Alligator mississippiensis: one gene and its partners. The protein of the gene in region 1 interacts with the protein of each later gene in a biochemical or structural test. Links are inferred from orthologs where the notes say so. Each region holds a gene or a part of one and is shown on either strand. Other genes may lie near its edges. The genes, in order: S100A6, CEP43 and CACYBP.

Evidence for each region.
Region 2: the proteins of S100A6 (region 1) and CEP43 form a complex in vitro, tested with the Homo sapiens proteins (2 studies listed by BioGRID and IntAct, with this or other methods). The link is inferred for Alligator mississippiensis from reciprocal best matches to the Homo sapiens genes S100A6 and CEP43.
Region 3: the proteins of S100A6 (region 1) and CACYBP are reported together in a solved structure, tested with the Homo sapiens proteins (2 studies listed by BioGRID and IntAct, with this or other methods). The link is inferred for Alligator mississippiensis from reciprocal best matches to the Homo sapiens genes S100A6 and CACYBP.

The regions. Positions count from the first base shown.
Region 1 is NC_081838.1:13,257,429-13,267,527, reverse strand, and holds S100A6 (protein S100-A6), read right to left. Parts: upstream 4,548-10,099; 5' UTR 4,447-4,547; intron 3,503-4,446; 5' UTR 3,488-3,502; coding exon 3,350-3,487; intron 2,362-3,349; coding exon 2,218-2,361; 3' UTR 2,137-2,217; downstream 1-2,136. Other genes in the region: S100A5 (protein S100-A5), read right to left, coding at 5,052-5,195, 5,376-5,513; S100A4 (protein S100-A4), read right to left, coding at 7,603-7,767, 8,101-8,241. UniProt on the Homo sapiens protein: May function as calcium sensor and modulator, contributing to cellular calcium signaling.
Region 2 is NC_081824.1:144,063,034-144,072,677, reverse strand, and holds the start of CEP43 (centrosomal protein 43), read right to left. Parts: upstream 4,437-9,644; 5' UTR 4,162-4,436; coding exon 4,078-4,161; intron 1-4,077. UniProt on the Homo sapiens protein: Required for anchoring microtubules to the centrosomes. Required for ciliation.
Region 3 is NC_081828.1:48,613,751-48,623,940, reverse strand, and holds the start of CACYBP (calcyclin-binding protein), read right to left. Parts: upstream 4,631-10,190; 5' UTR 4,535-4,630; coding exon 4,514-4,534; intron 2,017-4,513; coding exon 1,821-2,016; intron 530-1,820; coding exon 433-529; intron 1-432. UniProt on the Homo sapiens protein: May be involved in calcium-dependent ubiquitination and subsequent proteasomal degradation of target proteins. Probably serves as a molecular bridge in ubiquitin E3 complexes. Participates in the ubiquitin-mediated degradation of beta-catenin (CTNNB1).

The DNA of each region.
Region 1 (10,099 bases):
CCTGCAATCCTGGCCTGTCCCCTGCTTTCCTGGATCACTTAATCTCCCTAACAAACAAGGAGGAAGGGTTGAGGCCTGTTTCCCAATTGACAGACCATGAACTTGGCAGCACTTGACCCCAATTGTCAAGTTCAGCTTCGTTTGGCATCAAAAGGGCCTCATGAAGGATAAGGACTGCCCCCTCCTGGCCACAGGGAACAGATCCGCTCGGCCATGCTGGGATGTGATGAGAGATGCATGCATCAACCATAACTATTTGAGGAGGTCTAGTAAAAGACATCAGATTTACCTAAAGAACCTTGTCTACCCATGGCTACAATCCATCCCCCTGCACCAACCACAGGCAGCTCTGGCATCAGCCCTCCTCCCTCCTTCCATCACCACCTCCTGCTTCATCCAAGCATGCACAGGCCGCTGGCCGTTGTGAAGGCAGGGAAGCCTTAATGCACACACCAAGATGCGGCACATCAGCCTGGGCTGCCGGGAGGTTGGTGGTGACTCCTCCCATGGCCAAAAGCCAAGAGCTTCCCTGCCCCCTGGACAGGAGCTATCACCACAAAGACACAGCCTGACCCATGATGCAGGTAGGTTCTCCTGCTGTGTTTCTGACTGGGGTTTGACCTCCCCATGCCTACTGAGTGCATCTCTGGAGCTGAGACCCAGGCTTGGCATGGCACCTTTGGAGGCTTCCTGCAGCCTGTTCTCCTAAAAGACCCCCAGCTCCTCTGCTTCTGGGTCCCCTGGTCCATCACCCTGCGGCGAGCTGGAAAGGGAATTGCTAGGCTTGAGATACTGCAGGGAGCATGTCTCTGGACCTTGCACCCCAGTCCCTGCCCCAGCCAACCAGCAAAGCCAGAACCAAGGGTGCCTTGTACCCCCATACTGCCCGCAGAACAGGCATACACATGGCTTCCACCACTGGGCAGGTTGGTCTCGGTGCCTCAGTACTCCCTGGTCCAGTTATGGCTCTTGTCTGAGCACCATGGGTTGGCCAGCACCTTGGCTGAGCCTGGTCCCCATCCTACTGGCTCCCCATGAGCTGACCTGGTGCGTTGCCCCTCTGGACCCGTCGTCTCCAATTCCATACTGAGTTGCTTTCCTGTCATGCCAGACACCGGGACCCCTCTGTGCCCGGTGCTGGACCAGCCCAGGACCATGCAAAAGGTAAGACACAAGACCCAAAGCAGGCCCAAACAGAACAGTAATGCCCAAGGGGCGCACATGTGTCAGGGCCAACTCACTGCCACTGCCAATGTATTGCATGCCCAACAGACATCAAGTTACAGGCAGCAATGCAAAACAGAACAGAGAGGGAAAGAGAGAGAGGGATGGAGTGCGGGAGTGAGGGAGGGATGAGCTGCTCTGCCCCCAGGTTCATTGCACTGCACCGTGCCCTGGAGGCAGCCGTGGCCAGAGCTCCCCAGGCCACAAGCGCCCTCAGAAACCAGAGCATCTGCTATCAACCCTGGGATCTTACACCGGCATCATGGTCCAGCCTGGGAAACGCCGTGGCTTCTCAGGACCATGGTCACCAGATCCGGGATGATGTGGGCAGTTGGCCAGAGCCCGGCGTAGTGTGAGCCTCCTGCAGAGCCGCAGCTGTTGCTCATCACCCCCCTACTCCCCCAGCTGCTACAACATAGGGGCAGAGATGCAGAGGGCATCAGGGCGGCCAGGGCACCCTCTAGCCCAGCCCAGCCCAGCCCTACCCCCATACTGCAGCCCCAGCAGTCTCAGGCATGCCCCCTTGCATTGCCAGGTCTCGGCCCTCCAGCCTCCTATGTGTGCTCAGTGCCAGAACAGTGAGGGGCTGAGGTGAGCTGAGCCCCTCGGCCCCAGGATGACATGCATCTGTCCAGGCCCCAGGGACATCAGGCTGTAGGGACCTGAGCCCGAGCTGCCTCCAGCAGTGCTGGCAACTGGGGCTCTGTGTGCATTGACCCTGGGCCCCCATGCATTGACCCTGCTCCATGTGCGCTGACCCTGCCACAGCCCCCGCAAATCATCCCCATGTCCCAGCATGCGGCACGGCCCCCCTCAATGCCCCATCCTGTCTACTTCAGCCATGCCATGCCCAGCAGATTCCCAGCGGGCACTTGCTCTTGGAAGGCAACAGAACGGAGACGGAGCCCAGGGCAAGGCGTTACAAAAAAGCATTTATTTTCCAGCTTGGTGCCCAGGGCAGGCCCCTCCAGGTTGCCCCATCCCCAGCTATGGCTAGCACTTGTGCTTGGCCAGCTCTTCATGGTAGATCATGGCCAGGGCTGCCAAGAAGGTGACGTACTCCTGGAAGTTCACCTCCTGGTCCTTGTTGCGATCCAGGTCGGCCATGAGCTTGGTGACGTCAGCATCCTTCAGTTTCTGGAGCAGGGAGGAAGCATTAGGTGTGTTAACGTGTTCAGCGTGTGACCCTCGACAGGCATCGGCTGGCCTCACCCTCCAAAATGCAGAACCTGGTGAGCGCTGCTAAGGGGCTCACACCCCCTTTAAAAGGATAGGGCCCTCATTGCTATACTCTGCATGGGAGCAGCTGAGAAGCTGGGCTTCAAAAGAAACCCAAAACATCCAACCCAGGCTCCCCACCATGCCCCTGCAGAGTATAGGAATGAGGGGACTCTCCCTTTAAAGGGTGTGTGAGCTCTCTTGCCCAAAAAGCTTGCAAAGAACTTTTTTCCAACTATTTAGTTGGTCTAATAAAAAATATCACATCTACCCGAAGAACCTTGCCTGCCTGAGCCCTCTGGCGGCACTCACTGGGTTCTGCACTGGAGCAGGGCTGTGCACGTCCTAGGGTTGCTAAGCCAGGCCGTTAGTCACCACGCGGATTCTTTGCATTGCTGTCCTCTGCATCATGAATAGGTGTGGCAGCCCGCCGCCAAATGGGGAGTGGGCCCACTGTTCTGGCCTTGCACCCTCATGCACACATTCAGACAGGTATGCACATACATGCATGCACACAGTTGCACACACAACTTCCTGAGCCAGACACTGATAACCCCGGGGGGAGCCTCTGCTGGGTAGATTCTCCAGCTGGGCCATGAGCTAGGGGCAGTTGGGACACTACCAAATCCCCAAATCCTACTGCCCCCCACATCCCCAAGGGTGTGATGCCAAGCTGTTGGCTGGAGCCTTGGGAAAGCAGGGTTCCTTCCCAGCTCTGCTACTGACTTCCTAGGTGACCTTGGGCAAGTCCCCTCGCCACCCTCCCGTCTCTGCCCTCCTCCAGGCCAGGGCCATCTGCGCTTAGCACCAGGGGGGCTGATCTGGGCCCAGGTGACTGGGCCTCTGCAGGTGCCAGGCTTTGGCCTCTGGGATGCTACCAAACTCTGCTGCCCCCAGCCCCACTCACCGGGCCAAGGCTGAGCTCCTTCTGGATGAGTTCCTTCAGCTCCTGCTTGCTCAGTGTGTCCTTATTGCCTTCCTTCCCTGAGTACTTGTGGAAGACATACACCAAGGCCCCGATGGCCTGGTCCAGGGTGCACGACATGGTTGCGGGGTGGATCTGGGTGGGGGCAGAGATGCCTGTGAGCTGCAGCAGGGGCCGGGGGGGCTGGAGATGGGACGGAGCAAGGACAGGGAGACCGCACGGGTGCCCATGGCTCTCTGGCCTGGCTGATCCAGGGATATCCAGGGTCTGCTGTGCAACCTTGATGCTCCCAGGAAAAGCGGGGTGGGGGCTCCAAGACACCCTGGGGATGGGCACGGGGAAAGGACAGGAGAGAAGGGGTAGGGCCTGGCTCTGAGCAGAGATCCAGGGAGTGCCACATGGATCCCAAACCGGGGCACCCTGACTGGCCGCAGGCCTTTGCGGACCGCAGGAAAGGGAGCGAAGCAGGGTGGAGGCACTGGGGAGCGGGAAAGGCAGACCCGCCGCTCACCCCCCTGGTTGCTCTCAGGCTTAGTGGGGCCCAGGCATGAAGCACAGGGCAGGGTGGGGACCAAGCCCTGAACCCTGTAGCTCCACATTGAGAGACAGCCGGAGCCAGTGCCTTCTCGCCCACTGCCACAGGGTGTCAGCCGAGACCTACTGGGACAGCTGCCAGCTTGGCTGTTGTGCAAGAAGCCACACCCCACACCGGGGCATAGCAGTCCCCCCACATCGCCCAGGCCCCCCCCAGGTTTTTGGGACCCTGCTGCCCCCAGAAGCACCGTCTGTGCCTGGGAAACCCAGGTACAAAGCTCCCACAGGTATTGGGGACTACTAGGGGACCCTGCAAACCCAGCTGGAGAGAGCTGGGGGGAGGACGGGGTCCTTTGGGGCAGGAGCAATGGGGTCAGAGGTAGAGGAAGGGAGTCCTGGCCTCTCTGTCCAGATATGGTCCCTGGAGCCAGCTCCAGAACTGCTGCCAGGGAGGGAGTGGGGCAGGGGCACAACTGGAAGAGAGTGCAGCCACAGCTGGCGGGGCAATGGCAGCACTCTGGAGGAAAGGGAAAGCGCCAACTTACCAAATGAACCGGAGAGAAGCGAGGAGAGGAGAGCAGAGGAGAGCGTGGGATGAGGCTCCAGGCAGCAGGCAGCCTTTATAGATCGGGCTGGGTGCCCCCCACACACACACCTCCCAGGACGCTGGGGAAGCCCTGCCCCTCTGCACAAGCCCTGCCCCTACTGCCCCGGACACTACCCAGCACCATGGACCCTGCCCCACCGCACCCAGCCCCCCACCACACACCGGCCCCGTGCCAACTGGGCTCTGGGGCAGGGCAGAGGTGGGTCCCCATGGTGACACCCTTCCCAGGCCACAAGCTAGTGCTGCCACAGAGCCCCTGCCCCACCTGTAGCAGCAGGGCCCCAGGAGTCTTTGCAGGGGCTGTCTCACTTGCCCCCCCATGCATCCTCTCATGTGGGGCAGGGGCATCACCCCCTGCTCTATCTGCCCCTCCCCTGCACGGGGGTTTCCTCTGTGTCCCTCCCCATGGCTCGGAGCCAGAACCAGGCTGGAAAGGAACCAGAGTGGAAAAAACAACCTCAGGCGAGCAGCAGGCGGAAAGCTCTTTATTGAAGGCAGCTGCGCTGCAGCCCAGGCCAAGGGACCTGGGCGTGGGGGGCTCTGCTACTTGCCATCCTGCTGGAAGAAGTCGTTGTAAGCCATGCACAGGGCAGACAAGAAAGCCGAGTACTCCTTGAAGTCGATCTCGTCATCGCTGTTCTTGTCCAGAGTCTTCATCAGCTCGTCAATGTTGTGCTCCTTCATTTTCTGCAGAGCGGGGCCCAGCCGATCACACGCAGCCCCTGGGCTTGTGCCAGGGACAGGGAAACCCGGGGGGGGGGGGGGTATGGTGGGTATAGCAGGGAGGACTTCACCCTGCAGCGTTGGAAGGCCCCGATCCCGGACAGAGAGGGGCACACCCGCTGCAGCCCCTCACCCAGCTCTCACCTGGCCCAGCCCCAGCTCATTCTTCACCAGTGCCTTCAGCTCCCCCCGGCTCAAGGTGAACTTGTCACCCTCTTTCCCCGAGTACTTGTGGAAGGTGAGGACCAGGGTGGCCAGGGCTTTCTCCAGGGGGGTCTCCATGCCACCTGCAAGGGAGAAGGGGACGCGGGGAGCAGAAGCGCGACACCGGGGTGAAGACCCTTGGGGCTGCTCAGCTCAGGAAGAGCAGCAGGATGCGGGTTGTGGGGAATAAAGCCTAGAGAGACCCAGGGACATGGCCAAGGTCATTGAGGGGGCAGTGGCAGGGCAGGGGATTGAGCTCAGCTCCTGGCCTTCCACCCAATCTCTAGACAGCAGTAGAGGTTTCGCAGGGCCAGGCCCCCCACCCCCTCCAGCACGGCCATTGTGTGTGCAGCCCCTTGCACCACAGCCTTTGGCCTCGGTGGGTGCTTACAGCAACGGGCACCAGATCTCCTGGCCCAGCTCATCAAAGCCCAGGCCCATGCCCCTGAAATCCACCACGTGGGTCCTTCACCGTTAGCAACGTGGTGAGCAAACAGCAGATGCCCACAAACTGCTGGGCAGGGTGTGGCTCCACTGCCCTGGGGCACCTGACTCATTCACACCCGGACCAGGCGGGTCCTATTGAGGAGGCCTTTCAAAGAGGCTTAGGAGGGATTAGGTGCCTTTTTGCACCTGGGCTTCTCCGGTAACAGCCTTTGCCCCAGCTCAGTGGGACAAAAGAACGGGGGCTCACCTCCCCCCCCCCCCCGCCCTGCAAGGCTGGGGACACAGGAAAGAAGCCTCCAGGGTGCAGGGGGAGGTGGAATTAACCTCATGCCCGAGGCCCAGGCACCACTGGGCGCTGGGGACTCTGAATAGGTGGGGGGGTAGGAAAGGCACAGCTGCCCCATCTGCCCAGGACCCCCTGGGTCATGCGGTTACCATCCTGCTGGACCAGCAGCCCCATGCAGAAGCATTAGAGTCAGCAGCTGCTGCACGTCTGGAGAAGGCAGGACAGAGAAGTCCCCAAGCCAGCCTATCCCCCCATCTCACCAGCCCAGCTGATGGCATCGAACCCCCCAACCTACCAAAGAGGAGATCACGGGTGCAGAGAGTCCAGGGCAGGGCAGGCAGCTCCTCTTATACCCTCCTGGCTCAGGCACCAATGGAAAGTGGATGCAGTTGCCAGGATCCTGGCTCCCCAGGGTCACCGCCTGCCCATGCTTGTGGGGTGCAGTCAGGGCACGGCCTTGGAGCCAGATGGCCCCTGCACCCACTGCCCGGGGTGGCCTGGGGTTACCCCTCAGCTCACAGCTCCCCCAAAGCAAATCCAGAGCAGAATCTGGCCCCATGCAGAGGGGATGGGAGGGAAGGGGGCAGCTGGAGCATGATGTAGAGGATGTTCCCAAGGACATTGCTGTCTCCATGGCAGTGCCAGCTCCTGGCACCAGGGATTTCAGCAAGCAGGATGCTCCAGAGGGGCAGAGCCCTGTTGCTTAGCAATGCCCAGCTGGGGAGATGCAGAGCCGGAGGCAGGGGGTGGACAGCAAGGGCCCAGGACAGGTGCCCGGCAAGAGCCAAGGGTTTGCTGTGGGGGGCTGCTGGGACTGTCCAAGCCCCGTCATGCAGCAGCCATGGCTCCATCCGGTGGAGTTGGACCACAGGCACTGCTGCCTCTCTGTGGGTGACCCCAGGGCCACACAGCCAGCTGCCCTGGAGTGCTGTGGCCCAGCCCCTCACCCTGGTCTTGGGACCCCATGGTCACTGAGCTGTGGGGAAGGGGCTGCAGCAGGCTCTGGCTCTGCAATAAACTCACCCAGGTAGGAAAGGACTTATGGGGTCACCTGCCAAGATGGATCCCCCTGGAGCGGGGTAGAGCCTAGGAGGAGCTCCCCTTGCTGCCAGCAGTTGAGGGCTGCTATCCTGGAGTTGGAAGGAGCAAAGCCCCCGACCCCGGTTTGCTGCACTTTTCCCTGCGCCTGGATCAGACCCCTGCTCTTTTGGGCAAAGCTGGCAGAAACCCTTGAAGACCCCACAGGGAACTTTACCCACCCCTACGACTCCATGTGCAACACAGTCCGGGAACCAGTTACACAGTCGAAGACACACACGGGACTCTGGAAGTGACTTTATTGCACGGGCTCTCAACGGGCTCTCGAGGCAGTGGTGAGCAATGCAGCGGGGGTCCCAGGAGGAACCCACGCAGGACAGCCCAGGCCCAGGGCAATCACTTCCTCCGTGGCATCTTGTCGGGGCAGCCCTCAAAGATGTCGTTGCACATCATGGCAGCGCAGGCCAGGAAGGTGGCATACTCCTGGAAGTCCACCTCGTTGTCGCGGTTGCTATCCAGGTTGCTCAGCATCTTCTGGAAGCTGGCATCATCCGTCTTTTTCTGCCAGGGGGAAGGAGGTGGGAGCAGGGTTCAGCCTAGCCCAGAAATGCTCTGCACCCCTCCTGCAGCTCAGGGCATCACCCACCTCCCTCCACCCCATCATCCGCGTGTACCCGCCCCAGGCAGAACTGTTTGGGACAGGACGTGGGCACCTCCTGCCCCCCTCCCCTCTTCAAAGGGGCAGAATAGATTTATCTGAGAATAAATCCCAGAGCAGGAACCGAGCCCCCTCTGCAAGAGGCCACTGGACCCCTTCACAGGGGCAGACAGGTCTCCTGTGCCCAGGTCCCAGCACCGCCCCCAGTGCCTGGGGGTCCCAGTCCCCCCACTCACACTGATGAAGCTGGGCAGCTCCTTCAGCATCAGGTCCTTGAGCTCTGCCTTGTTGAGCTTCAACTTGTCGCCTTCCTTCCCCGAGTACTTGTGGAAGGTGGAGACAATCACTTGCAGTGCCTGCTCCAAGGGATGCGCCATGGCAGATCTGGGAGCTAGAGACGTGGGGAGGGGGCTGCTTAGAGCACGGCCCGAAGCACAGAGCTCCCTACCAAGCTGGGACCAGCTGGCCCAGGGGTTAAGGGTGCAGGGACGGAAGCAGATTTGAATATATTTGAGTGCCTTTGCATAGGAGGAGCACAGGCAAGGTACCCGGGTCCTGTCTTTTGTGGTGTGCCCAGCTCTCCCAGCATCCCCACCAAGCCCTCCGGTCACAGACCCTTCACCCAGGCCCATGGGACAAGTGCTAAGTGCCTATAGCCTGGCCCTGCCCAGCATCCCCAGAGGGAGGGCCCCCACCTGCTAATTGCACCAAGGCAGGAGGATGTGTCACTGTTTCCTGCCTGCTCCCAAGCCTCCCCTGAGGTCATGTTGGCAGCGCAGATGGGCGTTGGTAGCCAGCGCCAACTGCAATGACAGCCCAGGGGCTGGAGGCTTAGCAGGAGCACAGCTGGAGGGACCGAGCGATGACAGCCTGAGGGCTGGGGGCTTAGCAGAAGAATGGCTGTGGGGGGCAAGCAATGACAGCCTGGGGGCTGGGAGCATAATGGGAATACAACGGGGGGCACAAGTACTGCAGACCCCAGCCAGGCTGCTGCATAAGCCCAGACTCCAGAGGAGGCATCACCCTTTGCGTGGGTCCGGGGAGGCCCTTTGCAGCCCTGGCTGTGTCAGAGCAGAGCCCCAGACCTCCACTAACCCCAAAACTGCCTGGATGCAGAGGGCAGCTCTGAGACCCAGGCTAAGTGGGGAACCCGTGGCCGCCTTCACCACCCCAGCTCAGGATCATGTACATCTGCTGCAGCAAAGGCAGCGCCCCCTTCTCCCAAACCGCAGGGCTGGCTGTGTCCCCAGCCCCCCATGCACAAACCACCAGCAGCTGGAGCAGCTGAAGCCCCAAGCATCTCAATAAAACAAACCACTTACCAAGGCAGCGAGGCAGGAAATAGGCTGACAGATGCTGGCCGGACAAGCGGCTGAGCAAAAACCCTCAGTATTTATAGTCAGCGTACATGACTGGGGACACCCCCTCCGGCTCTGGAAATTAAAGCAAGGCCAATGAGCGGAGGAGCACCCAAACGTCCTGGCAGGCATTGGCTACAAGGGGCTGGGGAGCCCTGGGCCCCATGTCCTGCCCTCCCCTCAGGCCCAATTTTGGGCAGAGAAGAATGGGCGGATGCAGCCACTGCCCCGGTGGGTGCAAGGGGCACCGACTGGCACCGGGCCATGGGGTGTATCTGCAGGGGAGGGAGTGGAACAGCCTGGACAAGAGCAGGAAACAAAATGAGGGACGAACTGGGGGAGTCAGAGCTTAATGAGTCTTTGCAATCCCTGGTGGGAGAGAGGAGGGGGGGGCGGGGGGGATGAGCATGGGGTGGATGAACACATGCATGGACATGGGACAAGGCAGCGTGGGATGGCTGCTCAGGTGAGTCAATGGCCATCATCTGAGATCTCCCTTACCCCTCTCTGTCTAAAGCACCCCAAATTGGATAAACCTGCCATGTGTCCAGGTGGCTCCAGTCCACAGCCATACTCCTGCCTGCCCCCCCCCCTCCCCCCACACTTTGCCCCGAGATGCTTCAGGGAGAAAGGGCCCAGGAAGCATGAAACAGTGACAAGGGCTTCATCAAGCCAAGGCATCTATTCACGCGTCACCTACCCTGGTCACGCAGGGGAGGAAACCCTAGGACAGCTCAATCACAGCTGCATAGGAAATGCCTGCCCTACCCGGCACGGCCTGATCATGGACACGCATTTGCTCCGAGGGTTAATCCCAGCGAGCATGAAGCGATGGGAAGCATCCGCAGCTCCATGACGCACAGTGCCCGAGCTGCTG
Region 2 (9,644 bases), on another chromosome or scaffold:
ATGGATGCGTTGTACAAATCTAAGTGGACTATAATTTCATGAATCTTTTCTTAATCAAGGAAGAGATTCCACTCTAGGCAAGCCTTTATTTTGAATGCTTATATTTCACTTTCCCTTGTCTTTCATTCAGTGTTTACATACCCTTCAAATATTTTGTTCTACACATTTCTGGCTAAGAAATTCACCCCTTTAAAAAGTCCTCATCTAGTTAAATGGCTCAATAGCTAGCAGGTAGATTTAATGAGTTAAGCAACAGCAACAGTTGCTGTTGAAGTTATCCCAAAGTTTATATTTGACCAGAGGTGAAAAAGCTTTTTAAGAAATGGATATTGATTTGTACGATTAAAAGTCATTTTAGTGTGTAGTGCATTTGATTTTCTTTGGCACCCAAGTGGAAGTGGAAGAAATCTAAGCTTAGGTATCATTATTTAAAAACAAATGTATGGGGGGGGGGAGGGGGGAATTAAGTCTTTCTATACAGTTATTCCAGTTCAAAGTGAGCTGTCATTCTGAAGTTGCTTCTGTGACAACAGATGAAATAGGTTGATGACTGTATCCTGGCACGTAAAATACACTCACTATGACAGATGACTGGCAGTTTTAAAAGACTGTACTTCAGCATTTAAAAAGATGTGTACTGCAACAAATGGAAGGAAGCTATAAAAGCAAAATCAGATCTTAAAATTTCCTAAATTTGTAAAATCTTTAAAAGAGCTCTGAAAGTGTTGTTTTAAAAAGTCTTCTTTAAAATTAATACAGCTTTATTACTTTTTAATTTGCTCCTGGGATCCAGATGTCAACTTCCCAATAAGTTTCCTACACATTCTTTTTTTTAGATTGAATTAATGCAACTGACTTTTCAGAGATCCTGTTAAGTTTTATACCATCACAGGAAAGGCTTGCTCCATCACTGTTAGAGCTAAAAGGGGTAGCCAGTACTAGAAACTCCTCGTCATTAGTGATACTTCCAACCAATTAAATCAGAGTAAAATGATCTTGAAAGAAGCTCCATCCCATCAGAGACACACTCCTACATCCAGTACTAGTGGGAGAACATTCAGGATCATTGTGTATGCAAAGAACTTACTTTTAAAAAGGACCATGCTTACCAAATCTAAACAGCAGTCAGTTTACAGGCCATTTTTGAATGCTGACTAATACTATTCTCATGGATAATATTTCTGTTAATAATTCAGTTCAGTTGACAAAGAAATAGAAAATGTATCAACTGGAAGTGGACAACATATTGATTTACATGTAGGTAAGTATGCTGCCAACTACCAAATTAAGGTTTTACCCCAATTCTGCTGTGCTCAAAGACAAGTAAAATATATTGAGCAGTGTTCAGCAGTTATTAACTGGTTTAAAAAGCAATTGAAACTTTGCATGTTCTGGTTCAATAATCTATAGCTATGCTGGGTACTTTGGCACAAAAAAAACTAGTTTCCAAACCACTAATGATTATTACCACCTCATTTAGTCTATGGTAGGACTAAGATTTCACTTAATCACCACAAGTCACTGTAGCAGACCAGCAATGACCCCAAGTGCCCTGTATTTCCCTCAGCTGCATTACTGGAGGCCTGTTACGGGTCCTACCTACTGCTCTTTGTTCTATTTTTCAGTCCTTCCATATTTTTCTTCTTGACAATTTCACATTGTCTACTTTAGCTAGATCACACCTATATCCAGATAATCTTCTTACGTATTTATTCTTATCAACCTCTAAACAACACTAAACAGATATCCTTCTAGGACTTGCTTCCTAGTTTTTACCTTCACCAGTTCCTAGAAACTAGTTTGCATTTCATCTGGCAGTACATAAACAACAACTGTCAAAGCATAACTTTCTCTCTCAACTTTGGCACCATAATAAAAGCTATTAATATGTACTAAAACTACAGAAAATAATATAATGAGCATCACTGTTTGACATTTGGCAGGAAAGAAAAGTATTCTTTCTCCTTATACCCATTAAGCCAGCTTCCATTTCAAGTTTGGGTTTTAAGTGACCGGGTTGCTTTTGAACAGTTCTTAAAAACAAAGGTTTACCAAAATCTGTCAGAGACCAAGAGAAGCAATATTGCTTCACCAGAACTACCAAAAGATTGAGCTTACTCCCAATTCAGATTATGGTTACTGGTTAGCTGGCCACTGAAAAGCTGTACGTCAATTGATTGGGAGCAAGAAAACTATGGGCAGAAGTTACCTCCCACTGTCAAAGGCAGGATATGCACAAAGTGGGTTGATCTAATAAAAGATATCAAATTCACCCAAGGAACCTTGTCTGGATATGCACAAAGGCATTTGGTCTGCTGCAGCATGACAAATCAATCTCATGTTCTCATGAAGTAGGTGCAGGAGGCCTTGCAAGTACAAGAAATAATTCAGGCAGTAGTATACACTATATATTTCTATGAAAGTTTCATTAATTTGTGGTCAGCCAAGGAATCCTTAATTGTGCTGTATTGGTTATAGCAAGTTTTCCGTGTTGAAGCACATTGCACATTTGAATTAAGCACAAGGAAAGAAAGCACAGGAAACCCAATAGAGGCAGCAGCCGGACTTCAGTAACTTCACTATAATCAATATTACTTATATAGGATCTACAAACTGTGCTTTTCACCTACCAATATGATGCAAGAAATGAAGCTGAGGACGCAACTGTTATGTGAAGTGGTAGAGGCAGCAAAGCATCAACAGGTGACTTCTGCTTAGCAGCATGGCACACAGCACAGCCTGCCACTGCTCTTCCAAACCAACAACTCCCCCTTGTTCCAACATGCTTGTCAACTTGAGCTTTTGCTAGCTGTCCACCTTCCTCCAAATCAGCAGCTCTCAACACACTTCAGGCCTCCCCCTCCCCCATCAGAAAAACACCACTTGTTCTGACTGCAGAGAAATGACAGGGCAGTTCTTGCACCACAGGGAACCCACAACAGGGCAGGACATTTTTACCAGGGGTGGGGGGAGGAAGCCTCTGGATTCACCCTGTGCCTTGTGCTGGCAGGGCTGTCCCAGCAGACCTGGTGGCACCCCGGGGAGGGGAAGAGATCACAGCTCTGAATAAATCCCCTCACTGACAACTCAGCCCCAGCTCATTTGGCGATGCAAGGTCCCGAGCTGGGCTGCAGAACAGCTCTTTGTCAGTGTTGCCAAGTGTATAATAATTATCGTATCTGTACAATTACAACCCATGTACAATGTAGGATCAATAACAGTAAGTGTTCAAAGTGTATGATAATTGTTGAGGCAGCTCACTGATGCAGCGTATACAAAACCCAGGTAACATTCAGGGTTTCTTAACTGACTTATGAGGTTTTGGTTTTTTTGTTTAATTTTCTGTAGTCCAAGCCAAATTAGTCAAAACAAATTCCAAATCTGAGAATTAGTCCAGAACCGTAAGTTGCCTTACTACTACCAAGCATCCTGCAACCCCATCTGGGGCTTCAGATGTTTCCAAAAATCTTTAGTGGGCATCCTACTTATTCGGATCCCCCTGAGTTTTGCTTGCCCTCAGCCGTAAAGCCCCTGGGGCAAGCCAGGGAGAAGTCTCCCATTTCCATAAAGCAGGCTTAAAGCCAAGACCTTCCTACTCCAGCAGCTAAGTGGGAGGTTTTGGGTCTACGTTAAGCACGTTATGACTGCTCACCTCAAAATAAGGAAACACCTAAATTTTGATGACCCAGTGCTCGGTGGCTCACAACAAACAACATAAAGTCAATAAGAAAGTGGCTTATCTGCATACTTACTTGCATTTGTTTTTCAGCACATGATAGTTTCTCCGCAAATGCGAGAATCGTGACCTTCCAAGACCATAATTTCCTATTTAAGACCTGGCAACGCTGCTCTCTGGGTCGGGCTAGAAAGGGACGGCTCGGATTTGGGGCTAACTCAGCGCGACCCTTCCCAACCCGCCCCTACTAGACGCCTCTCCGGTTGTGCCAGGACCGGGGCCCCCGCAGCCCCCTGCGCGGACCGGGCGGTCGCAGGCCCGGGCTGAGCCGCGCCGGTGCCGCTGGGCCAGGCTCTGTTCCCGCCGCGAGACCCGTCGGCTCCATGCCCCCCGCCGCGCACCTTGATCTTGTTGAGCACCCCGCTGCTCTCCAGCGTCTGCACCAGCAGGTCCCGCAGCTCCGTGTCCTCCTCCGCCGCCGCCATCTTGTTTCTCCCTGACAACCGCCCAAACCGCGCTAGCGGCCGCGTCGGCCCCGCACATTCGCTACGGGCCAGGGAGGCGGGGGACTGCAGGGGCAGCCGCGGTTGCGGATCGTAAAGCTGGCGGCCCGGCTACCGCATGGCCCAGCCGCCTGAAGAGGAGGATGAGCCCCACCGCAGGGACCGGACGGGACTGAAAGTGTAGATGCGAATGCGCAGCGCTAGCTTGACGCCATGAGGCGGGAGGTTTGAAGACAGGGGGCGGGGCTGGCTGCGAGGTCCCGCCCCCTAGAACTTGCCGCGTGACGCGCGCTCCTAACCATCCAGCAGTTAGCCAGAGCTTCAGTTACAGAGCGCAGAACGGGAGGGGAAGGGAGGACGCTGAGCCACGCCCCCCGTCCAGCCCCAGCCAATCGCTCCCAGCTGGGGGCGGAGCGGGATTACGTATGTCAGGCAGTTCATTGGTAGTGATGTTGCCAGGCGGACTGTCATTATCATCGTTATCAGAGTTTCAACGCGCTCAGGTAGGCTGGTTAATAGTAAAAGTGTACAAACTAGAGGTCTTGGCTCCAAAATGATACCTTTTATTAGACCAACTGGAAAATGGCAAGAAAATTGTCCTTTTCCCCCTGAAAAATGTACGATAATTTTTGAGGCAGCTCACTGATGCAGCAAATGCAAAACCCAAATCACTCTCCAGGAGTCTTGACCGACTTTTGGGTTTGCTCTTTTTTGGGGGGGGTGGAAATCTACATCTATATATGGATATATCTATATCGTATAGCTATATTGATATAGAGATATATACATAGCTATATATATTTATATCATAGCTATATTGACATAAATATATATAGATATATATACATCATCTAGCATAAAACTTTCCATCACACACTTTAAACCACATTAAGAAGCAGTGTACCCATCACAACAAATGATCCTGTACCCCCCCGCACCCAAGGCCGGGCCAAGGGTAATTGTGCACCTCAGTGCCCCCCCACTTCCAATATAGAGGAAAATAAGAAGTCTAAAATGAACTTTTACCTCTGAGATCTTTTCAGAGGGCTTTATCCCCTTACCGAGCCACAGGTCTTAGACCAAGGTGGAGCTGTAGCTAGCCAGAGCTGCTATTTAGAATGATGTTCCTGTTATTTTGTTCTGGATATATTTTGGTGCTCCCTCAAATTTTGGTACCCTAGGTGACCGCCTAGTTTGCCTAATGGTTGGACCAGCTCTGCCCACACCCACCCGCTGCCCTTCCCTAACCCAATCGCAGTCCTGTAGTCCAAGCCCCGATTTAGGTTTACATTCTCAGTCATTCCCTATCCTTGTCTCTGTTGATATCACTGTCACTGCTGCTGCTGAACCTGTTGCTGTCTTCCTCACTGTCCTGGGGTCCAGTTGTGTCATTGTCCTTTTCTTTCTGTCCTCTTCCCTTCCCAGGGGGGTCTTTGAACAGGTTGTGCCAAGCATCTCTTTTCCAGGTGGAGTTAGCTGTGTCTTCTCCATCCTCTCCCACTGTTTTCTGGTAGTAGGACTGATGTTTGCTCAGAAACATTTTAACACAGTCTGTTTCGGTGTGTCTGTACTTTGCTGCAGGACACAAACTGGTTGAAACGGGTTGTCGAGGGCCCCTGCTGTTCAGACAGATGTACAGTGCTGCCTCATTTTTGGGTTTGCTCTCTGCACTTTCTTATGATGCTTGCCTCAAAATAAAGCAATGCTTCAAGTTCGCACTCAGTCACTGGCAAGTTACAGTGAACAATATAAAGTAAACAAGAAGACTGATTTGCATCCTTATTTACGTATTTTTCAGTGTACGGTAGTTTTTCAGCAAATAAGATAATTTTGAGCTTCCAATAGGATAATTTTATACTTAAGACCTGGCAAGGCTAAGTTAATGGCTGAACCCTGCCTTAACTAGAAACAAGCACAAGACAAAGTGATGCTTGCGCCATTCACTGGTTAGTGGAGACCAGCTAGGCTGTAATTGCCACCTGATAAAAATGATTTTCCAGCTAGAAAAAAGAGCCAAGTGGCTCTACACTTTGTGCCTAAAAAATGGGTCGCAGCTGTACAGCTGGTTTCTGTCCAGCCTTGCTTTGAAGGCACAGCAGGGCGCTGCAGCCTTGAGTTGGCAGAGGAAAAGCACTGGGCCTTCCCACTGGGGAAAAAGGGTGGTTTATCTGTGGGTGAAGTGACACGCTACCCTTGGGGCCTCTTTACACATGCAGGTTTAGGCCCTATGGACTCTAATGAGACACCTTATGAGGCACACAGGGAGGGCAGTGTTGTCTCCGCTGTGAGCCCTGCAGCTGAGGAGGCTCACGGCAAGGACAGTGCCAGGAATGCTGCCACCACTGACTGCGAGCCTTGGTAGCAGGTGGTGCACCCCTGTGGCTGGGAGCCCCTTGGTTGATGGGGCTCCCAGACACAGGGGCTACATGGTCAATTAATGGTCTGATTAGAACAAGATATAAAGTTATTACACATTTTTTAGCTTGTTTATTGCTTGTTTTATCACACCATTAATTGAAAACGTGTAGCTGGGTTGCATCTTAAGACATGATTAAGTGATTAATCATGCCTGAAGTATAACGTGTAGAGGAGGCCTTAGACCAGGGGTGAGCAAAATGGCAGATCTTGCCAGCAGCCAGACTCTATTTCCCAGCAGCCCCTACCCATGTCACTGCAGCTGTTTTCCATGGAGACCCTAGTAGAGGGGGCACCTTGGCAGTGCCCAGCCAGGGTTTCCATGGAGCCCAGCCCCAGCAGTGCTGGAAGGGCATGCAGCTGGGTGGGGAGCTGCTCTGGGGCTGGGGCTGAGATTTTGCAGTGCTGACTGTGTGGTCTGGAGCTCAGCACTGTCTGCACACTCCAGCCCGAAGCGTGTGGGCAGTGGATTGCAGCTCTGCCCCAGCTCTGGACCACACTGTCACCACTGCAAGATCCCAGCCCCAAAGCAGCTCCCCACCCAGCTGCACACTCTGCCAGCACTAGTGGGTCCAGTCTCCATGGAAACCCTGGCGCTGCACGGTCACTGTGCCGCAGCTCCTAGGGTCTCCATGGAGACCGGGCACAGCGATGCAGGCAGGGGCTGCTGGGAAATGGAGTCCACTGCTGGAACAGTCCAGCCCAAAGGCTGGATTTTGCCCACTCCTGTCTTAGACTGTGCTACATTTGTGGGACGTGAAATAATGCTAAAGTTAGAAAGCTGCGAGCAGCTGCATGTTAAGGGTTAATACTGTTTCCTGCCTGTACAGCTCTGACTTTGTGGCTACAGGGCTGGTGAGCAGGGATGTGGCTACCCCATCAGGGCTCTATCCCTGCTCTAGGTAGGTGGGGGTGCTGGAAGTGGTACATTTGGGGATGATAGAGGACTGCAAATTGTTCGTATTATCTCAGCAGAGCAGGCTGAAGTTACCCTAGGTAGTGTGGTCCAGAGTTAATGCCTGAAGTGGCATCACTTTGAGATGCTCAGAGGACACTTAGCATGAGTTAATGAGCTTTAATGTGTAGACTCATGTTTTAAGTGTCCTTAATATGGTCGAAATCAGGGGCTGGCAACATTTTTGGGCAGAGTGCCAAAAATATACAACCTCCATTTGTAAAATGTTGGAGTGCCAGGGGTGGGTGGCAGGGGAGCTGTGAGGGGCCCAATCCTTGTTTGGCAGCACAGGCCTGGCCACTTCCCTGCTGTCTGCCCTGAGCTGCATGTGCCAAGCAAAATGCCTTCACGTGCCACACTTTGGCATCCATGCCAAGGGTTGCTTATGCCTGCTCTAAGTTTAATCTGCAACTTCACTCTGTGACACCTCCTCTTCCCCTGCACTGCTTTGTCCAGCGTGGCAGGTAGGGCTACTGGCTAGAAGGGTGCCTTGGGGTTGGTTGCTTTTATGTACGTATTTATTTGGCACCAAAATGAAACAGACTTTCACAAAGTTTCTAAAAGTGTCATGTTTTGGAGTCTGGCTGAGAGATGGGGGAGACAGGTGTTAAAAAAAATCACTATCACACCTTAAAAGTTTCTCTCTGTTTTGACTGCTGTGCTGCTGCCACTCCCCTTCCCTCCACTAGGTGGGGAAGCTGCAGAGCTTGGGGGCAGGGAGCACATGCCAAACAATGGGAAGCCCAATAGTCAAAGCTGAACGTGAACAATACTTAACAAATGCCATCAGACCAAATCCTGTTCTCCTTAATTAGAGGGGCCATGATTTCTTAGGATGGTATCTTTTATTGGACCAACTGCATAGTTGGGATAGAGTTGGCAAGCTTAGATAGAGTTAAACTTGAATAGAGTTAGACCTTTGGATGGAGTTAGACAGGGTTTGAATTACACTTAGACTTTGTTTAGCGGGGGGGGGGGGGGGGGGTCTGCAGTGGTGGCAGCTGGAAGGAGCCGCCACCGCCTCTGCCACCTGGGCTGCTTAGAAAGGCGCAGGGCTAGCCAAGGGCTGACTGGTGGTTCTTGCTTCTTATTGTGGTGGGAGGTTCCTCATCTCTTATGAGGGGACTCAGCCGCCCCTTCCTGCCCAAGCTACCCCATAATACGAACTCTGGAGTTAGACTAGAAGAAGAATGTCTTGCAGTCAAATGCTTGTCTAACTCTATCCCAACTATGCAGTTGGTCCAATAAAAGATATCACACTTAGAAGTCATTGCCTTTCATATAATTCCTGGACCATCCGCTACAACTTCACTCTAACACTCCTTAATTGGCAAAGTAATTACAAGATTACTTGTGTGTTGTGGGCAACGCTAATGGAGGACAGCTGTTAGGATGCTATCCAACACCCTTGGAAGTTATACTAAGCACACATGCAGCAAAAGGAGGGGGGCGATGACTTAAGTTCTGGATACAGTTTTAGTCAATATTTGCAGCTGTTTCAAAAAGAGAGAGAGAGACAGACAAGGGTTACTCTAAAAATGTTCATGTTTGTCAAAAATATTCCTAAAAAAAGATAGGGAACTGAGTGGTTTCGATGAAATTATGCCTGGAACATTTAGTTGTTTTGTAGATGACCAAAACTGTTTTATCTATCTTATGAGCTTTATGCAGATTGATTAGTTAATAGTTGCATGTTGTCTTGAAAACAGAAAGCATTATAAAAGCATTAACTGTAAATGCAACTGACATTTAAATACCGTTCAGGACATGATGCATATTTTCAGTATATCGTTTTAAAGATATCTTTGGATCTCCTTTGCACTGAAAAGTATAGGAATGCAGGGAGAATCCTCCTAGGAAAGTCAAGAGGTGAATCCTCCTAGGAATAAAGATTCAGTGTTTTAAGCATAATATACAGATATGCTACACTAATATATATGTATTGATGATGAACGCATATTGTCTCTAGAGACATGCAGAAGGTGGCACCAGTTAGCTGTTACAAGTTTTCATTGACAGAATTCAAGAATAAGAATACTTTAAAAATGAAACTGGGAAATGAGACTTTGAAAACATTGTCACTGTGTTGATATTT
Region 3 (10,190 bases), on another chromosome or scaffold:
GCAATATGTAAAATGACATTTAAACAATAGAGAGAGGAGAATATTTGTTTTTCCTGGGATTTCCTCATCTCCAGCTTGCTACAAGATTGTACAAATCCTTGGAAAAATAATCATCTAGAAGGTATAAGAAAATAATAGTCCCGTTCAGGGTTCTTTCTTACAGCTGTGTCGCACCAACTTCTTGCAGAACCTGGACAAATAACAGCTCTGTTTCAGAACCCCAACCAAGTGTCATGAGTCTTAATTAGAATTTGTAAAATGTTTTGAGATTCTCTGAGAAGAAATATACACATACATACCAGTATGTACTAAAGACAATAGACCATTTTAGATTTTGACCCAGAGGAGTGTTCAACAAAACAGGCCCCTTCATCTGAGATGCAGCTTTTCCAAATGTGCTTTCTGGCTGGCACAGCAAAAGTCTGGACTCACCTCTCTGAGAAATGCACTTGCACATTCTCAGCTGGGAGCTTGTGAACATCATTTAAAGTGATGTAAATCTTCACAAATCTATCTGACTGGTCCCAACCTGCAAGAGAAAAGGACAGGTAGGTTTCTTTCAGCCTTCTTCCACCAGCTCATGACCCGCTTTCCCTGAAGCAAGTACAGTATTCCACCATAGATAATGCTCTGCTGCAACTATCTTCAGATAGCTGGGGAAAGACACCATGCGGAGCATAAATGGAACAGAAGCAACAAGGTTAGGAATGCAATTATCAGCTAAGTTCTTTGGTTTCTCTGGTTCTTCTCAGAGAACCAGGGCAGCTCTGCCTGACTGAGCAGGAAAGGATGGAGAGGATCAGAGCTGGGTGGCTGGTTTGACTAGTCTACCTGGCTGCTTCAAAGACCCACTCCTGCAGTACCCTGTTAAACTGAGATTGCGTATTAGTGGCCCCCAGTTGTCCTTTCCCCAAGACTAGCATTTTGGGTACTCTGTTCCTTTTGCCTAAACTGCAGCTGAACTGCACATGTTCCCTCAATTCTTGTCAAGTACTGGGGAAGGGGTACTTATGGTTGGGCAGGTCAGAAAGCAGTAATTCCCTGCATTAATAGGGAGTAGAATTTGGGGGTGCTTAACTTTACCCACCCCATGCTTTGGCTACAGGTACAGTAAAAGCTCTGTTATCCTGCATCCCCTGGGAATGGGGGATGCTGGATAACAAAAATATGCCCGTTAATTGAGCGGCCCTGGCCACAGATTCTCCTGCCACGTCTGGGGCGTCCCTCCCGCAGCATCACCACCACTCCCGCAGGCCCTGAGGACCTGTGGGGCAGACCCCGCAGTCTGTTATGCCCCTGGGCTGTGGGGGCTCAGCAGTGCAAGCTGCTTTGCCCTGAGCCACGGAGGTCGGAGAAACCAAAAATGCCACGGCAGGCACTTCCAGTTTCACTTTATCTTACAAGCCGGCATGCCGGTTAGTATAGCATGCCGACTTGTAAGATACCGGTTAACAAAACGTTTACTGTAATTCAGGAGAGGATCTCAATGCTTCACAGGAGCAACCGCTGTGTAACATATCCTGCCCCCTCCTAAAGGGGTGGGCTTATTTTGCTTGGGGCTAGGAAGAGAGATGAGGAATTCCAGAAACTCTGTCCTCCCCTCTTCTAAACATCCCACATTTAAAACATCATGTTCCATACTGGGCAGTTATTACCCCTATATTTTAAAAGATGCAAACACACACAAACTGAGCACGACCTCCCTCTGTCACCTTCATGATTACACAATTATAACTCATTAACCACTGGTTGGCACTAACAGTGCCCTCAGCTCTGTTAAAACGTATTTTCTCAGCAGGAAGTTGGAAGTGCAAGCTTACCGTAATTGTTGATTTTCACAGTATATCCTCCAGCTGGTGGTTTCTCTTCCTCTACTGCATCACTTTTGGGCTTGGGTCCTGGCTGGTTCTTGATTTCTGTCTCTATCTTATGCTTTTCTGCCATCAGGACATCCTGAATTCTTTTTCTTGTGGCTTTGTTCAACAGCTCTTTAACCTCTTCCAAGTCTTTCTGCAGCTGGGTTTAAGAATAAAAGACCATATATGTGCACTGGATTACATGCTACTTCACCTGAGGCAAACTGTTGAGCCCCTTCACTCATTGAGTGTCCAAAAGAAATAAAGCGCCTGCATACCCAGCAGCCTCTAAAGCAGCTCTAAATATAAATTTAGGTTACCATGTGGACCTGAGTTTTGCTGAACTCACAAAAGCAGCTGGAGAATACAGACCTGCTACTAATACTTGGACTAGTTTCACTCCCTTATTCCCAGGGTAGCAGAACTGAGAGGTGGACTCATTTTAGGGGTGATATTTTTCTGTGTCCTTTAACAAAAAAAAATGAAAAGTATCTTGTTGAGTTAGCATTTTTGTCTAGCAAGACCTCATAAGGCCATATTTTAGTTTTTAGCTGAGCAATGCTTTATGTATGTTTTGCCTTTGCAAGTCCAATTACTCTGGCCTAAGAGAATCATATGTAATAACTTCAAGAAACTTGTCATGGCACAGCTGATCCGTTTCACTGGATGAAACAAATGTTGCCCCTTTTCCTGCCCTTGGTGGCGGACACAAGAGGCAATGTGATCAACACTTGATTGCTCAGCATTTGTGCTGCCATAAAAAATTTTATGGCAGTGCAAATGAGACATCAGGTGACATCTGTTTCCACCCTTTACAGCAGTGTTGTCCAGCTTCTATTGCTTGGTCCTAGTATTGCTTTATGTTAATTGTTTGCATGGTGGTAGACGCCTAAAACATCTGATAATCAAACTTCATACTGTTCTAGTTTATTTACCTATGTAATTCTAAATTAGCAATCTTGTTAATAAGTTAATAATAACTCTCTCTCTCTCAGGCCTTGACAAACATTGATCTCCTAGGTCTGGAAATCCAATTTCTGAAGTCAGGGAGCCCAAGCTCTCCTGCCTTCTAGAATTTTGTGTTTTTTCCCCCAAACACGTTGCACAAGAAAGACGGATACATAAACAATTGTTAAGCCAGATGCTCTGGAAAGTTTTCTCCCCCTTCTTGTTCACCATATTGGTCCCAGGCCAGTTCCTGAGGTATATTGTAACTTTATTATGCTAGTGGGTATTGCTCACCTTTGAATTCCACTTCTATGAAAAAAAAATATTGCAGAATTTTCCTTTTCCCACCAATTGGAAGAGAAATCTGCCTTGTGACAGTATCCATCTTTATTATTTTCCTCCTGAGAAAGCAACTTTGTTGATGACTTTGTGATTATTGGGGGGGGGGGTGTTCTACACAGGAGAACTTACACAGGGATGGATCTATGTTAGTATAATTATGCTGGTAAACATGCTCTAAGACAGGGTGTGAATGTTTTCTAAGTGTAAAAGTTAAGGCGTATGCTAGCACCAGATCACAAGAGTTAATAAAGCTAAGTAACATAGTACATTACATTAAGATTGGTGATGCACTCCACAGCTACACATTCAAACTTAACCTTACACATTAAAATGACCATGAAGTATATAACTCAGTTTCACATTTTTTTCTAGAACCTGACAGATAGAGGCAGGTAACTTGTTGGGTTTTTTTTTTTTTAATTTCCTACACGTGCCAGTTTCATAGTCAAGCCGCTCTGAACACCCTCTGACTTTGGTTTTTATCTCTGGGCTATTCGTTCCAAGGATGCCGGCCCTGATCTTGCTAGCAGAAGTAGCTGCCCAGAGCTCTCAGTAGTGGGATCACCGAGAGCGCCATCAGCACCATGCTCAGCACCACAGCTCTGCAGTCTTTTTGAAACCAGCAAAGTAGCCCCCAACATGAAATTCAGTGAGCAGTTGCCTCAGCCAGCCGTTTCCCACAGGCGTGACCTACACGGCCCCAGCAGCGAACACAGGAACGTGCAAGAACTGCCGCGTACTGGGTCAGCCCATGAGTTCATCCTGCCCAGTTTCCTGCGTCACACACAGACAGCATTTCACTGGGCAGCGCCCACCAACTCCTCAGACTCGTCCCTCCCCTCAGCGCACTAGTCTGACCAGCACCCCCATCCCTATTTTTGTTATTTGTCCCCAGTAATCAACTGTCACCTGTTTTGCAGCCTCCCGGGGTGGGGGAGGCCAATAGGTTAGTCGGGGCTCAGGCCCAGGTGACAGACGGCCAGTAGCCCTGGCGGTGCCCAGGGCTGTCCGGGCGCGCTCCGCTCCCCGCCCCGCCCCGCCCCCGTGACGGACTGACCTCGGCCCCGCGCCCGCCCCGCGCTGTTATGACTGGCCCGAGGGGCCAGCTGCCGCTTCCCCTGCGGCCGCCCTTTCTGGGCGCGGCTTATAGCTTCCGGCGGTGGCGGAGACCTTTCGCCCACGAAGTCCCAAGGGGCAAACAGCGCCACCCGGCACCGGTTCACGGGGCGGCGCCCGCTGGCTCCCCGAGGGCCATGGGACGCCGTGTCCCCCGCTGCCTCTCCGCCCCGCCCCGCCCCGCCCCGCCCCGCCGGCCAGACCCCCAGGCGCTGCTGCCACCGGCTCCCCGTGCCCGGCTCGCCACTCACCTCCTCCCGCGCCGACGCCATGTCTCGGAGTGGCGCGGCCCGGCTCGGCGCAGCACGCGCTGGCTCCGCCGGGGTACGGGAGCGAGGGAGGGGGCGCGCTCGCCGCACTGACTCAGCCGCACGGCTGCTCCGCCCTCGCTCCTCCCCTCCCCCCGCTCTGGAACTTTCCCGATAGCCCCGCCCCTTAGTTACACGCCCCTCGAGAACCCGGCGCGGACATGCCCCCTAGCGACGAGATCTACATAAGCCCCGCCCCGCCCCTCCGCCCGCGGCGCTCTACCGGAAGAACCATAGAGGTAGTAGCCGAGCTAGAAGGTCCTGGCGCAGGGGGCCACCAGCCCCTCTCACTCTAGGTGGGGTCCCGTAGGAGTGGGCGGGGCAACCGTGTTTCCGTGGAAACGGAGGGGCGGGCAGGCTGGGAGCCCTTGGGCGCGGCGCGCGGGGGGGCAGCGGTGGTGTCGGGCGCGGTAATTACCGTATTTGTGTGATCATGTTAACCCTTGCACGATATGCGATCCATAAAAGTGAACGTGTCCCAAATGTACACTGAAGCTTGAGGCAGCTCCTGGATGCAGCGCGGGCAAAACTCTCAGGGAGTCTTTGCTGACATTTGGGCTTGCTGTCAACACGACCTTATGACTGCATGCCTCCAAATAAAGGCTGCTGCTTCAATGACCCGGTTCTCACTCACTGGCATCAACACTGAACAATAGAAAGTAAATAAGACTTGTTTGCATATTTTTCAGTGTACAGTAGTTTTTCAGCAAATATGATAATTTTGAGGTTCGAATAGGATAACTTCATATTTAAGACCTGGCAACACTGGGGTGCTCAGGCAAGTTACTTCACCTGGTCGTGGGCTCAGACGGGCCCCACGGGACTGCTGGAGCGTGACCTGCTGCTGACCTGGGGTCCAGGGCCTGCTGGGCGTGGCCCTCGGCCTCGGCGTGGCCCTCGGCCTCAGCGTGCCAGCGAGGGCTGTGCTGGCGCTGCCCAGCCCGGTCCGGTCCAGACCTGCCCAGGGTCCAGGGGATTTTGGTGCCGCGGCCTTTAGACTATATTTACTTGACTACAAGATGGCCCTGCAATACTTAAATGCTGTATATGAAAAGCGTACAGAGTTGTATAGTTTTCTAGGTAAAGAATCTAAGTACTGGAGGGTTTCCTGAATCCCCTCCTCCCCACTGCTACATCAGCCTGAAGCAGTGGCTGGGGGCATCAGGAAGTGGTTGTGAGCAGGGCCTGTCACAGGGGGGCCAGGAGGGCCATTTGGCCCGGGCCTCTCATTCACGGAAGGCCTCAAATTTAGACTTTGGACGTTATCTCCAAATGAGGTTATACATACAGACACAGAAATACACTGACAGGATTGAAAGAAGAAGAAAAAAGCTAGAAAAGCAGTTGTTAAATAAAAAAGGAACATTTATTACAAATTACTGCATTGTATTTTGAGCCTCAAAAAATGTGGCCCGGGCCTCTCTTGACCTCTGAGAGGGCCTGATTGTGAGTCTGACTCTGGCCCTGATCCGGGCTCAAGGCCAGAGTTAGACCCACAGCTCCCCCTCTGCTTTGTATGTGAATATAAGGTTCAAGGCTTTTTTTCCCCCATGCTGATGGGGGCAGACCTCATCTTATATTTGTTTAAATACAGTAAGTGTTTGGGTATTGAGCTTTAGCCGGTCAATGCATTCCCAATCTGTACCCCGGCAGGAGCTGTTGGGGTACAATGGGAGCATAAGCATAAACTCTTTCAAATGTCTGCACTGTACCGCAAGGGGACGCTTCTGTTAGCCCTGAAAACTCTCAGAAGCCAATGGGATTAAATTGTGCCTGAGGATAGAAAGGAAACAAAGCACTGTCCATATAGGAAGGAAGGCACTTCTCTCTGTCACAACATGTTTATCCCGTGGGAGGGACCTGACCTGTTCCATATAACTATCAGTCTTCAGTTTATACTGCCTTAGCCCATGGCCAAGGGAAATTATTTAAATTGTCTGACAACTAACCCTTAAGCACACCTCGTAGGAAAAATATTTTAATCGACTCCAGGGCTAGAGGAGCTTGGACAGTGAAACTGTTTCAGCTGTGAAAAGAAAAACTGCCGCCCATCTAAACTAAGCACTTTCTCCATATAGAAGTTAAAAAGGAGTGGGGCCTGGATAGACATTGTTTGTGACAGGTGAACTGAACATCCTTATTTCTTTCTACCCTTTCCTGATCTTGGCCACTGTTTGACTATAGAGGGTTAAAAAAAAAAGTTGTCCAAAATCTATAGTAGTTCTTGCTAGTTAGTCCTGGAGACTATCTGATAGAGTAAAAAAAGCATTGCAGATCAAAGACCATATAATATTTTCCCCTCTTGAGCAGCTATTGCCTACAAATCAAATGAGAGGACAAAACAGTAGTAGCAGTACAGCCATTCCTGAAACTGGCTTTTTTGTTTGCGAGTATAGTTAACAATTCCTGTTATCTCCCTCAGAAATATTTAGGATAGATTTTAAAAGCCACATCTAAGATGCTAATTGGGCAATAAATCCCAGGATCACATTATCATTTCTCTGGACTTTTTATTAGTAAATCATTTTGCTAACACAATTAATTTTATCCTTACTTCCTGAAAGATGAAATAACATTATAAATGTCAGGAAAAGTTCTCTTTCCCCAGCATGCCTAGAGATAAGGACTTTGGTATTTACCTTAATCTCACCATAGTGTATTGCTACCAGCTTCCAAGTAAGAGACTATTTTTTCTCTGGTTCCAAAAGTTAAAATGCCTTCCAAAAGGTCTTATCACAGTATAGCATTTCTTATTCACTGTTTTTAAATATTCCTTTTTAGAATATCTACTGTCTTAATTGAATCAGGGGAGCCATTATATCAAAGAGTTCTTGGCATAATACAAAGCCATTTCTTACAACTGAAGGAACTAAAATTGTATATATTTTTTTATTCTTTAAAAGATCATAAATACCCCTTTTTAGTCTGGATTTTTTAAATTATCTTAATAAACAGCATGTAGATTTACTCTGGATCATCAAGGTACAAAATTGGTTCTTAAAAACCAACAGATTGCTGGATGCTCTGTTATTTTTTAGACTTAGCTAAAGGATTCCACTTAATTCACTTTGAGTTTTCAAAAATCCTGAATAAGACACAATCTCCCCAAATCCCTCCAGAATAAAGCTTCTGGAGAGTAGAAATGTACTTGCAGGGATTGGTGATTGCTGTCTGAGTAAAGACCACCAGTAAGAAATTAGAGAAACAATATTGCAATGGCCATATAATCAAGCACATTTCTCCCACTACAAAAAGAGATTGTAAAATGACCCTCACAATCATTGCAACCTCTGTACTTCAAGACCTCCAACAAGAATCCTTATAAAACTACACCTGATGCATTTCTCATGTTTGTACTTAGAATATATGGGAAAGAGTGGAGGTATCATCCCACTAACCAAGTTGAAGGAAGAATTAAACCACTTCAGATGGAAATTTTCTATACATAGATAAATGAGGAAGCTCTGTCCACAAAAATCATTATAGATAGTGGAGTTCCAAGGGAGAAATAAACAGGGCTAGTACAAAGGCTGCATGCAGAAAACTAATACTGTACTGTTGTAAGGAGAGGTTTGCCAGGTATTAATTTGCTTTAATTTAGTAGATTCAAGAATGGCCAGAACACTTGACAGTCTGACTGGTTTTACTCTGAATGCTACATTGAAAAGGGACTGAAAGCCTGACAAATAAAACACTAAGTCATTAGAAAGCTAAGTTTCTTGGGGGAATACCAGATCAAATTGAAATAACTAAATCCTAATGTCCAAATTCTGGGATTGACTTGTAAGGATGGCAGTGTTCCATAGAGCAGTTTAAATAGATTCTCGATCACACCAGACCCATCAATCCATATTCTTTTTTGAAGTCTTCAGTTGAATTGTCATAAAAAAAAACAATACCGTTAACTTTGTGATTAATCTTACCACTATCACCAACAATGCTTCCAAAAAATCCTTTGCATCAAATGTTCGTTGCACAAACGCCAGCATCACTGAAGCTAATGTTACCAGCATAGTCTCTGTGAGCCACAAGCACTGACTTCTCTGGAGGGGACATTGTATGCAGATGCCCAACTCTCAGCTTCCAAAACAAGTGCCCTATTCCTAGCTTAGTTGCAGCCTGAAATCTCACAGTTGCCAGAGAAAATGCTATAAGGACATAGAAGGCATCCCTCAAGAAAACAGACACCTACATCTGAACTAGGGACAGACATTCAAAAAACCTGAACCTGAATTGATTCAGTGTTTGCAAGTTAGTCTAACCTGCAGAGAGTGAACTGGTTTGTAAACGGATAGACATCCAGCACATGCCTGCAGTGAGTCAAGCCAGAAGCCCGGGGTGCTAGAGCAGTTGAATTCCACAGGGAGGGTGAGCGGAGGAGGGGGCATGGCCAGGCCCTGGCAGGCCGGCTGCAGTGGCCCCCTGACAGCCAGGAGCAATCTGGGCGCACAGCACTGCCCAGTCCCAGAGAGGAACTCGTCCCCCTTCTCCCTCTCCCCGCTGCCCACTGAGGGCCAGGAGGGGGACCCTGTTCGGTGCTGGGGGGGCTCTTCTCCCTTCTCCTCTCCCCCCCCTATGGTGGGGTGGGGAGGGGTGCTCTGTGAGACTGCCTGACCCCAGTGGGGACTCTTCCCCCTGCTTCTCCCCCATTGCTGGGGGGGCTAAATGGGAGGCTGCCCAACCCCAGAGGGGGACTCTTCCTGTCACTCCTTCCCCCTCCAGGGCAGGGGAGGCTCTGTTCCATGTTGGGGGACTCTTCCCCCTCCTCCTGGCAGAGGGGCAGCAGGAGCCCGGAGCTCAACTGGGCAGGGTGTGTAGCTGGCCAGAGCCTGTAGCTCCAGCCCTGGCAGTGAGGGAAGGAAGCCCCGCACTGGAGCCTGCCATCTCCCTGCTCCCGGCTGCGCAGTCCCCGCACTGCAAGGAGTGGAAGGAGCCCTGCACTGCGAGGAGTGGAAGGAGCCCTGCACTGCAAGGAGTGGAGGGAGCCCTGCTCCCGCTTCCCCACAGAGTCCAGTGCGGGGCTTCCTTGCTGTGATCGTGGCGCTGCAGGGGCCCAACGCGGAGCCCGGGGGACAGAGGCAGGCAGCGCCGCACTGGGGCAAGGAGCACAGCCCCGCAGCCCGCCCGGCTGCTTCCATGCCCTGGCCCGGGCTCCGCTGCGCACCTACAGCAAGCGCCACAGGTGCAGCGGGGAAGCCCCGCGCTGGACAGCAGGCTCCAGTGTGAGGCTTCCCCCGCTGCCAGGGCTGGAGTTAGAGGCGCAGGGAGCACAGCCTCGGGGATAAGGTAGGCTCCACTCCCCGCTCTGCGCCTGCATCAGGCACGCGCCTGCCAGGCAGCGGGGGCTGCACGCTATGGGGGGGGAGTGTGTGCGGGTCCCTACACTCTGCACCCCACCCCCTGCCCAGCTGAGCTCCGCGCTCCCGCTGCCCCTGTGGAGGCAGAAGAGGGGGAAGAGTGACCCCCAGCACGGGACATTCCCTCCCCCGCCAGCTCCAGGGGCCGCCGCTGCAGCCCCCGCCCCAGCAGACAGCTGAGCCCAGCTGCGTGAGGGGAAAGGAAAAGGGGGGCAGGATTAACTCCCTCCCTGCCCACTTTGCATTAGCGGGGTCACACCTGC